2 linked regions of the Mus musculus genome follow. The protein of the gene in region 2 purifies or fractionates together with the protein of the main gene of each other region. This does not show direct contact. Links are inferred from orthologs where the notes say so. Each region holds a gene or a part of one and is shown on either strand. Other genes may lie near its edges.

What was found. Proteins that work in one complex are often made in the same cells at the same time.
Region 1: the proteins of Rnf187 (region 2) and Yap1 purify together in Homo sapiens (affinity purification with western blotting; 3 studies listed by BioGRID, with this or other methods). This does not show direct contact. The link is inferred for Mus musculus from reciprocal best matches to the Homo sapiens genes RNF187 and YAP1.

Annotation. Positions count from the first base shown.
Region 1 is NC_000075.6:8,001,794-8,005,946, forward strand, and holds the start of Yap1 (transcriptional coactivator YAP1), read right to left. Parts: upstream 2,804-4,153; 5' UTR 2,598-2,803; coding exon 2,322-2,597; intron 1-2,321. UniProt on the Homo sapiens protein: Transcriptional regulator with dual roles as a coactivator and corepressor. Critical downstream regulatory target in the Hippo signaling pathway, crucial for organ size control and tumor suppression by restricting proliferation and promoting apoptosis.
Region 2 is NC_000077.6:58,931,788-58,935,916, forward strand, and holds the end of Rnf187 (E3 ubiquitin-protein ligase RNF187), read right to left. Parts: intron 2,445-4,129; coding exon 2,220-2,444; intron 1,610-2,219; coding exon 1,607-1,609; 3' UTR 501-1,606; downstream 1-500.

The DNA of each region.
Region 1 (4,153 bases), on a different chromosome or scaffold from region 2:
ATCTAAGTATCAAATGTAAACTTTAATGTTTAATTTCTTACACAACAGGAACACACCAGACCAAATAGACCATTACAAAAATTTAATAGGCATTATAAATGTTATTTTACTGATGAACAGTCCATCTGGATGAATGTCTACCTCCTAGACAGTGTGAAAACAACAAATACTAGGCATAATAACTTTATTTAGTGGTAAAGAATAATGCTCATCCTACATAACTCAAAATAATCAGTACTTTTCTAAGCAGTGTGGTTACTTTTCCAGGTTCTAGAACAAAACCTGGGGAACGACTGGGCACTTTTTTCTTTGTTGTAAATGTCTAATGTTCCCCCATCTTTCACTTTTTTGACTGTAAACAAATGTGATAAGTCAGCCATTATAAATTATACAACATTTAATAAATTCAAACTCTCAGAACTGCACCAATGCTAAAAGCTCCTCAATGAAGAGAATAATAGGCTAGCCCTTTTTGTGCCTAGAGAAAGACTTTTTCAATTCAATTATAATTTGTGGATTCACACACTTATAATAGCTGGGTGAGGGACAAAAGAAAAATCTGCAAAGACCCCAATGATTCAAATTTGGGTCCAATCAGACCAGTGTTAAGACAGGGGTCAGGAATAAACTTGTGTGTAAATGAGCTTTTCCAAGCGAGAGGATATAGGGCTAGAAGACTTCTCAGGCAGGGGCCTGTGGATGATTATTTACTAACTCTGATACATACCATTCACAGTCCAATCCTTTTATTGGAATTAGGGTTTCTCAAAACGTTTTTCTAGATTTATGTTGATAAGGAAACTGAAAAGACCCAGCAGTCATTTAAAGCCCCATAGGAAAACCCCGTTTTTGAGTTTCCAGATAGATTGAATTTTAGGAAACCATTAGCGCACAGAAAAGGTAAATTTATTGACGAACAGCTCTCTTAAAACGCTTAGAGAGAATGCAAATGTACCCACGAACGGCCCAGTGGAAGCCAGTATTACAAGTACACTTTCCCGGGTTCATTCCTTCTGACTTCTAAGTGCTACAAAATGGAGCGTTCAATCTGTGTATTCCTTCAAAGTTGCCCCAGCGGTTTCTCGATTGCATGTCACATACGTTTAGTTCAGCGAGTACAGAAACTCACTTGTGGGGGAGGGAGCAAATAGTATCTAGGTCTACTGTTGTTACAAATTAAGAGTTTATTTAGCCGAGCAGCTAGATAACTTTTCCTTCCTTCTTAAGAGGCTTTTTGTAGGGAGGTTAATCGAGATTTTCGAAGCTTCAAAAACCCCGTTCTACAACAAGCCTGCCTAGGAGGGGGGGCTGGAGTGGGGGCGGCAACTCTTCTTTCCACTCAAGTTACAGCCCGAGTGGGCTAACGACATGGCAGTGTTTGGAAAACCAATTAAGTTTTGGGCAAAGTTCCTGTGCTGCTTTAGCCTAAAGCAAGTTCTTTAAAAATTAAGTAATTAAAAGCGGGGGGAGCGACACTAAAGAAATCTACCAGGACCTATCGGAATGTTAATACTTTGAAACGGTTTCACTTCTGTGCTGGATCCAGTTGGGAAAATAACCAGGCGTCGTGGATACGGATAAGCAGCCATGTTCACATCCGCAGTCAGTTAAAGAGCAATGGCGAGCTTGGAATTAGTCATTGCTTCCCAAACATTACCTTTAATCACAGTTGAGCCGGGCAGAACTCGGCCTATGAGTCAACCTGCAACGCGCTATCAAAGGCCGGCGCAGAAACCTCTGCACCGTGAGCGCAGCCGAGCTCCTGCGCAACACACAGACGTGGCTCATTTAAAAGCTTTCGGGCCGAACAGTAAATAATAGGTTACGATTTAGGAAAAGGACACGTGAGCCCACCGAGTGTGAAAGGATCCCGCCCGCGCGAGTTCCAGGGCACGGCGGAGGCGAGTGGGGGGTCGAGGGAGCTTCGCTCGGGCTGGGGAGCCCGAACCCTGCATCCGGAGAGCGCCTGGGCCGCGAGAACAGAAAAGCTTTCGGGAGAGGGAGGGGGAGGGGACCGGGAGAAGGAACCAGAAACTCAATGGACCAGTTCAACCCCCACCCCTCACCGGCACGCGAAAACAAGAGGGCAGTTAACACAGCTCCACCGGAGACTGCAGTGGCGCGGGAAGGGGAGATCGGGTACCCCCGGCTGGGGTCCCGCACAAGACGCCGGCCCCCTCCCCCTCCTCCCCTCCCCCTCGTCAGAGCGAAGGTGCGGAGCGGAGGCGCGCGCATTGTGCACCCCCCCTGCGGCCAACTCCGCGAAAACAACCCCCAGCACCGCACCCCCACGCGGCCCCGCGCCCCCGGGATACCCTTACCTGTCGCGAGTGGGACTTGGGCTCAGGCGGCTTGAAGAAGGAGTCGGGCAGCTTGCGAAGCCGCATGGGCACGGTCTGAGGCACGTTGGCCGTCTTGGGGTTCATGACGGCATTGAAGAGCGCCTCCAAGTCGGTCTCCGAGTCCCCGCGGACGTGCACGACCTGGTGGCCGGCCGGGGGTGCGGGCGGGGCCGCGGGGGTCCCGGCCGGAGACACGGACGGCGGCGCGGGGCCTTGCGGGGCCGGCTGGGGCGGCGGCTGTTGCGCGGGCTCCATGGCTGCGGCCTCGTTCGACGCTCGGGGCACTGCGCTCAGGTTCGGGGGGCTGCGACGCGCGCCCGCATCGCCCTGCACTCCTTGCCCGAGGCCGCCTCCCCTCTCCTCCCCTCCCCTCCGCGAGCTCCTTCCTTCCTCCCTTTCTTTGCCCCCGGCCGCGGCGGCGTCCCAACTGAGACAGAAACTTTGGCTCCAGACGCCCAAACTAAAAAGTTGCGAGGAGCGCCCGCCCGCGCGCCTCGCGGGCTCCGCCTCCTCGACGCTCTTCCTTCCTCTGCGCGCCCGCCCGCACCGAATCCGCGGCCCGCGGCCCCCGGGGAAACTTTCCCTGCGCGTCGCTACATTCCTGCAGACTCCCGGCCGCACGTGACCCGGGGGCGACCGCGCTGCGTGCGCACCCACCGGCCGGCCCCGAGCCGCTCGGCTGCGGGCGCAGATCCTGCCGGACCCGCGCGCAACGCCAAGGCCGCGAGGAATCGGGACAACCGGCTTGGTAGGGTGGATGCAAAGGCCACACTGTTCACCCGCACTAAGGTTAATCCGGTCCGCGTTTTAACATTGATTCCATTTACCACCAAGTTTGAAGAAGAAACAACAAAACACTTGAGGGCGGGTGCAAATGATTTCAAAGTGAAGCTTGGAAACCAGGAGTTGCACTGGGAGTACCTTACAAAAGGAAACAGTATTACTTTTTAAATTTTGTTTTAAACAGGCTTTACTCTGTAGTCAAGGATATCCTCCAACTCTTTGTGCCACAGCTTCCACAGACAGCTAGGATTCCAAGCCAGGGCCTCTGCTAGCCCGGTTTTTGTAGGTTCATAGGTTCGTCCTTTTTCTTTTCTTTTTTCTTTTTTTTCTTTTCTTTCTTCCTTCCTTCCGCTCCCCCTTTCTCCCTCTCCTTCCTTTTTCTTCCTTTTTGTGTTTCTAATTATGTACAAGTGAGCACAGGTGAAGGTCAGAGGACCATTTGTGGGATCTGTTTTCTTCTTGGTTGTGGGTCCCAGAAATCGAGCTCAGGTACCCTGAACCATCCATCTCATGTTGACTACCCTATTTTGCTGTTTTGAGTCAGGTTCCTATGTAGCTAAGGCTTTCCTCCAATTCACTACATAACTGAGGCTAGCTTAAAATTTCTGCTCCCCCTACCTCAGCCTATAAAGGGCTCAAATAACAAATGTGGGGCACCTTGCTCAGCAAACTTTTTTTTTTTTTAAGTGAAAAGTCAATTTTTTAACACCAAAACTTGACATTTCTTTGGGAACTTCAACTCAAAACATAAGTCACTGTTTAACCTCATGGAGCATTGTGGGTTTTCCTCTTGTGTTTAGTACAAGGGTAAACAATGCAGGGTAGACTAAGAAATGAACCTCAATGGAGATTACCTTAGCCCCTGATTCTCTGTGTGTCAGTCTTTTATCTATCAGGAGCCTATCTGGAATCACTCCAAAAATGATAAAAATCTGTTCGTGTTTTTTAAGTTAATTATTTTGTATTGGGTGTTTTGCCTGAGTTTATGTCTTTGCCTTGGTTCCACAGAGGTCCAAAAGATGGTATTA
Region 2 (4,129 bases):
CTTCTCCACACCTGCTAGTCTATCAGTTTAATGTTCATTCTGGTCCCCAACAGAGACCACGTTCTGTCACTGAGGAGCACACTACTCAGGGCTGCTCTCGCTGCCTGCCATCTGCATGACTCAAGGATCAAGGATGCTACAGCCTGGGCACCCAGTCACCCTGGGTATGAATGTGACCAGTCTGTTACCTTCCACCCTGGGTGCATCTGCGCAGCTGGCCAGCCCTCTGCAGACCCTGTCTGGTGGGCTAAGCCAGAGTCCTCTCACCACGATGTCTCCTCTTGGTCCTTCTATCCATCCATGGATCCTGCTTCCCAGATGCAATGCCCACAGCCAACGCTGGGTTTGGGATGACACACACCCACACCCACACCCCATCCTGGAATATCTTAGTGACAGTCTCCTTATCTTGCTTTCAAAGGTATCAAAGTCCTTGGAACCTGGTCAGGGAAGGGGGAAGCAGCTGTGTAGACAAAGACTAGGAGGTATGGAAACAGAGAGGCTGGAGCAAACCACTTTATTCAGCACTGAAAACCCAGCCCACCTGCGAGTCAAGTTGAGGCCGGTCACTACATCCAAGGCTGGGGCCTTCTGGGGACAGAACATTGTTACCCGAAACCTAAATACATCTATGTCTTTGGCCCCTGACCTGTGTCTGTCCACTCTGCCGGGTTTTGTTTCTTGGACTAGTTATCTACACACACGATGCTGCAGGCAACCACACTACCGCTACGTCACAAGTTTTGTGAAATTCACCTATTGGAGAAAATATGAGGTGAGCAAAAGCCAAAACTACAGCGAAGTGAAGCACCCGGCGGCCTGGGGATGCCACCCTGCTGCTCTTCTGCAGGGAAGGAGGTCCCTTCCATCAGAGGTGGGAAGGAGGAGAAATCACTTTGGGGATGCCAGCGACACCCAAAGGGGCACAAGCTGGGAGGAAGAGAGGCTGGGAAGCGAAGCAGAAGGCGGCTCCCAGGACCTGGCACAGTGAGACCCAAAGTGAGGAAAGAGGTCCTCTGGTGGGTGAGGAATACTGCATTAACACTCAGGTCCCAGCCAAACCCCAGGACCTCCTGCATCCCTATTCTCTGGCACTAACACACACAGGCTGACTGTAACTGGTGCGCCTCAGAACCTTGCTGAGGGATGTCTAGTGAGCCAACCCTGTCACGGGCACCAATGGGAAAGGTGTGAGGCTTGGTTCCTGGATACTAGAACGAATGCCACACTAAGCTGAGCCATGGCAAAACAAGAAGCAGGGGCTTCCGAGCTGCCAAGTGGTCCCAGGCAGGGCTGGCACACACTGGGAAAGGAATCCCAGGACTGGTAGGTCTCTATTTGGAACAGGTACAAGCCCGAGCACATTCATGCCCCAAAGAAAATGAAAAACACTGCTGAACAATGGAACTATGTGCATGGCCAGCGGGGCACCTCTGATGCTTCATCCCAGGCTGTCAAGTGTTGATGGAGATGGGGATCTGTCCAGGATGAAGGGTGGTGCCAGGCAGAGGCCTGAGGGATGTAGGTAGGGGTGCTGCAGGCCAGCTGTAGAAGGTGGTTCCTTCTGCCTCGTGCTCCAGGGGGCCAGCCTGCTGGGCCAGCATCATCACTGCAGAGAAGGGACAAACAGACAAAGGGGAAAGACAGGGAGACAAGAGAAAATGAAGGGAGATACACAGGTATAGACAGTAAGACAGAGTGCTGCTATCCTGCGTACAATGCACACAGAGCCAAGGTGACTTGACAACCCATCTAAGAGGGGTCCAAAGCCTGTGTCTCTGAGGTTGTATAGGCCCCAAACAGCTGATGGGTATGTGGGAAGGGAATACCTCAGTTACAGGTGGCAGCCGATGCCCCATTACAAGCTCAGGCTGACTTCCAAGCAGGTTGCCTCTGGTGTTGGTCCAAGACTCGGGGAATGAGATGAGGATGAGGGATGACAGGGGGGATACCCTGGCTACTCCTGCTCACAGAGCCTAAGGTGGGGAAAACCCTCCCAGTGAGACCCTAGGCATCTCCTAGCTTCGTCAGCTCTAAGTTCCTTCCAACTACTTTTCCCAACCACCTACTTATTCTCTGATACTCAGACCTGAGCCACAACAGGGGCAAGGTGGGCTGTGGCTCGAACCTTGCCTGTAGGAGAGTCTCTCTTCCACCGTGGCTGAGTTGACTAGAGATGTGCTGTGGAAAGAGGTGCTCACCCCCTGCCCAGGTGGTACCTGCAGAAGCATGCTGAGGCCCAGGTTGCGGTGCTTCTTCTCCAGCTCTGACACAGCCTGCAGCAGGGACCGGAAGCGATCTGCCGGGTCGGCCAGCTCATCATCCTCGGAAGCACCCTCATCCTTCTCAGCCTCTTGCAGAAAGTGTTCCTCCTCCTCCACGAAGAAGGCCCGAAGCTTCTTATAGTCAGTCAGGGCCTTCTTCCTTCGGTCCATAACATGCCCCTGCAGGGTGAGAGGGGGAAGGGACAACGGTCCACACTGGACCATACCTGCTGCCAATGTGTTTAAAGAAAGAGAAGGCCCTCTACTCTGAAAGAAATTATGCTCTCAAAATAAGCTGGGACTTTTGAATTAAATCTACTTTAAAAACTAAAATCACAGGTACGAGAACTCTCCCTGTTTTCCAAAACAAGAAGTGAAATCTCCACATGAAAGGATGCCTCTGACATCCCTTATGGTGGTATTAGCTTGGTCCCACTGTCGTGATGTGCAGTTGGCAGGGCCTTGCAGCTCTCCATCACTCATGTGGGTGTATCCTCTGAAGGGATGGATGTTGGTCTCATGGGCCACCAGCTGGCTCCCAAGACAGCTAGCTGTTACAGAGGGAACCACCTTGGGTGCATTCACTAGACACAGTAGGCAGAGCCTTCTGATCTTTGACCTTCAGCCACTAGAACTCATAACTTGCCTTCTTTACACAGTACTCAGTCCTGGCTATTTTGTTACAGCAGCAGAACAAAGGCTACCTCTCTCCTACACAGCGATTTCATCAAGGATGCCACACAGACTTTGTTAAGATACTTTTCTTTATGCTTCCCAAATGAATCTTTTTTTTTTTTTTTTTTTTTTTTTGGTTTTTTTGAGACAGCGTTTCTCTGTGTAGCCCTGGCTGTCCTGGAACTCACTCTGTAGACCAGGCTGGCTTCGAACTCAGAAATCCTCCTGCCTCTGCCTCCCAAGTGCTGGGATTAAAGGCGTGTGCCACCACCGCCTAGCCCAAATGAATCACTTTTTTCCAACCTGCTAGTTTCTGTCCAATATTCTCAGTGTATTGTAAGATGCGACAGCTTCTTTGGGTCATTACCTTGTGAGGCCTCTCATACCATTAAAACTTCCATGAAGGCAATGTTTGGTCTCCCCTGCACTGTCCTTCATGACTGATTCCAGGAACTGCATCCCCAAGACACTAAAGTGTATGGATGCTCAAGATCCTTCTATGAAACGGCACAACATTAACACAGATGCCATCTGCATCCTCTCCTTCCCTGTGTTTCAGGTCCTCTAACACAGAGCCATCTGCATCCTCTCCTTCCCTGTGTTTCAGGTCCTCTAACACAGAGCCACCTGCATCCTCTCCTTCCCTGTTTCAGGTCCTCTAACACAGAGCCACCTGCATCCTCTCCTTCCCTGTGTTTCAGGTCCTCTAACACAGAGCCACCTGCATCCTCTCCTTCCCTGTGTTTCAGGTCCTCTAACACAGAGCCACCTGCATCCTCTCCTTCCCTGTGTTTCAGGTCCTCTAACACAGAGCCACCTGCATCCTCTCCTTCCCTGTGTTTCAGGTCCTCTAACACAGAGCCACCTGCATCCTCTCCTTCCCTGTGTTTCAGGTCATCTAACACAGAGCCACCTGCATCCCCCCCTGTGCTGCAGGTCCACTCCACTGGATACAATTTCCCTAACACAACATAAGTTCCTTTGTAAAGAGCTGACTAGAAAGAAGTCCGTACACTAAGTGCACGTGTAAGCACCAGGCCTGCTGTCTGTCTGTGGTGCTTGCTTTGCACGATTACATTCAGAGCCTCTCACATGCTGGACAAGCACTGCACCAACCAGACACACTCTCATTTCTGAGTACATTTCTCATCTGAAGACTGTTAAGGCCTTAGACATACAACCCACATCTA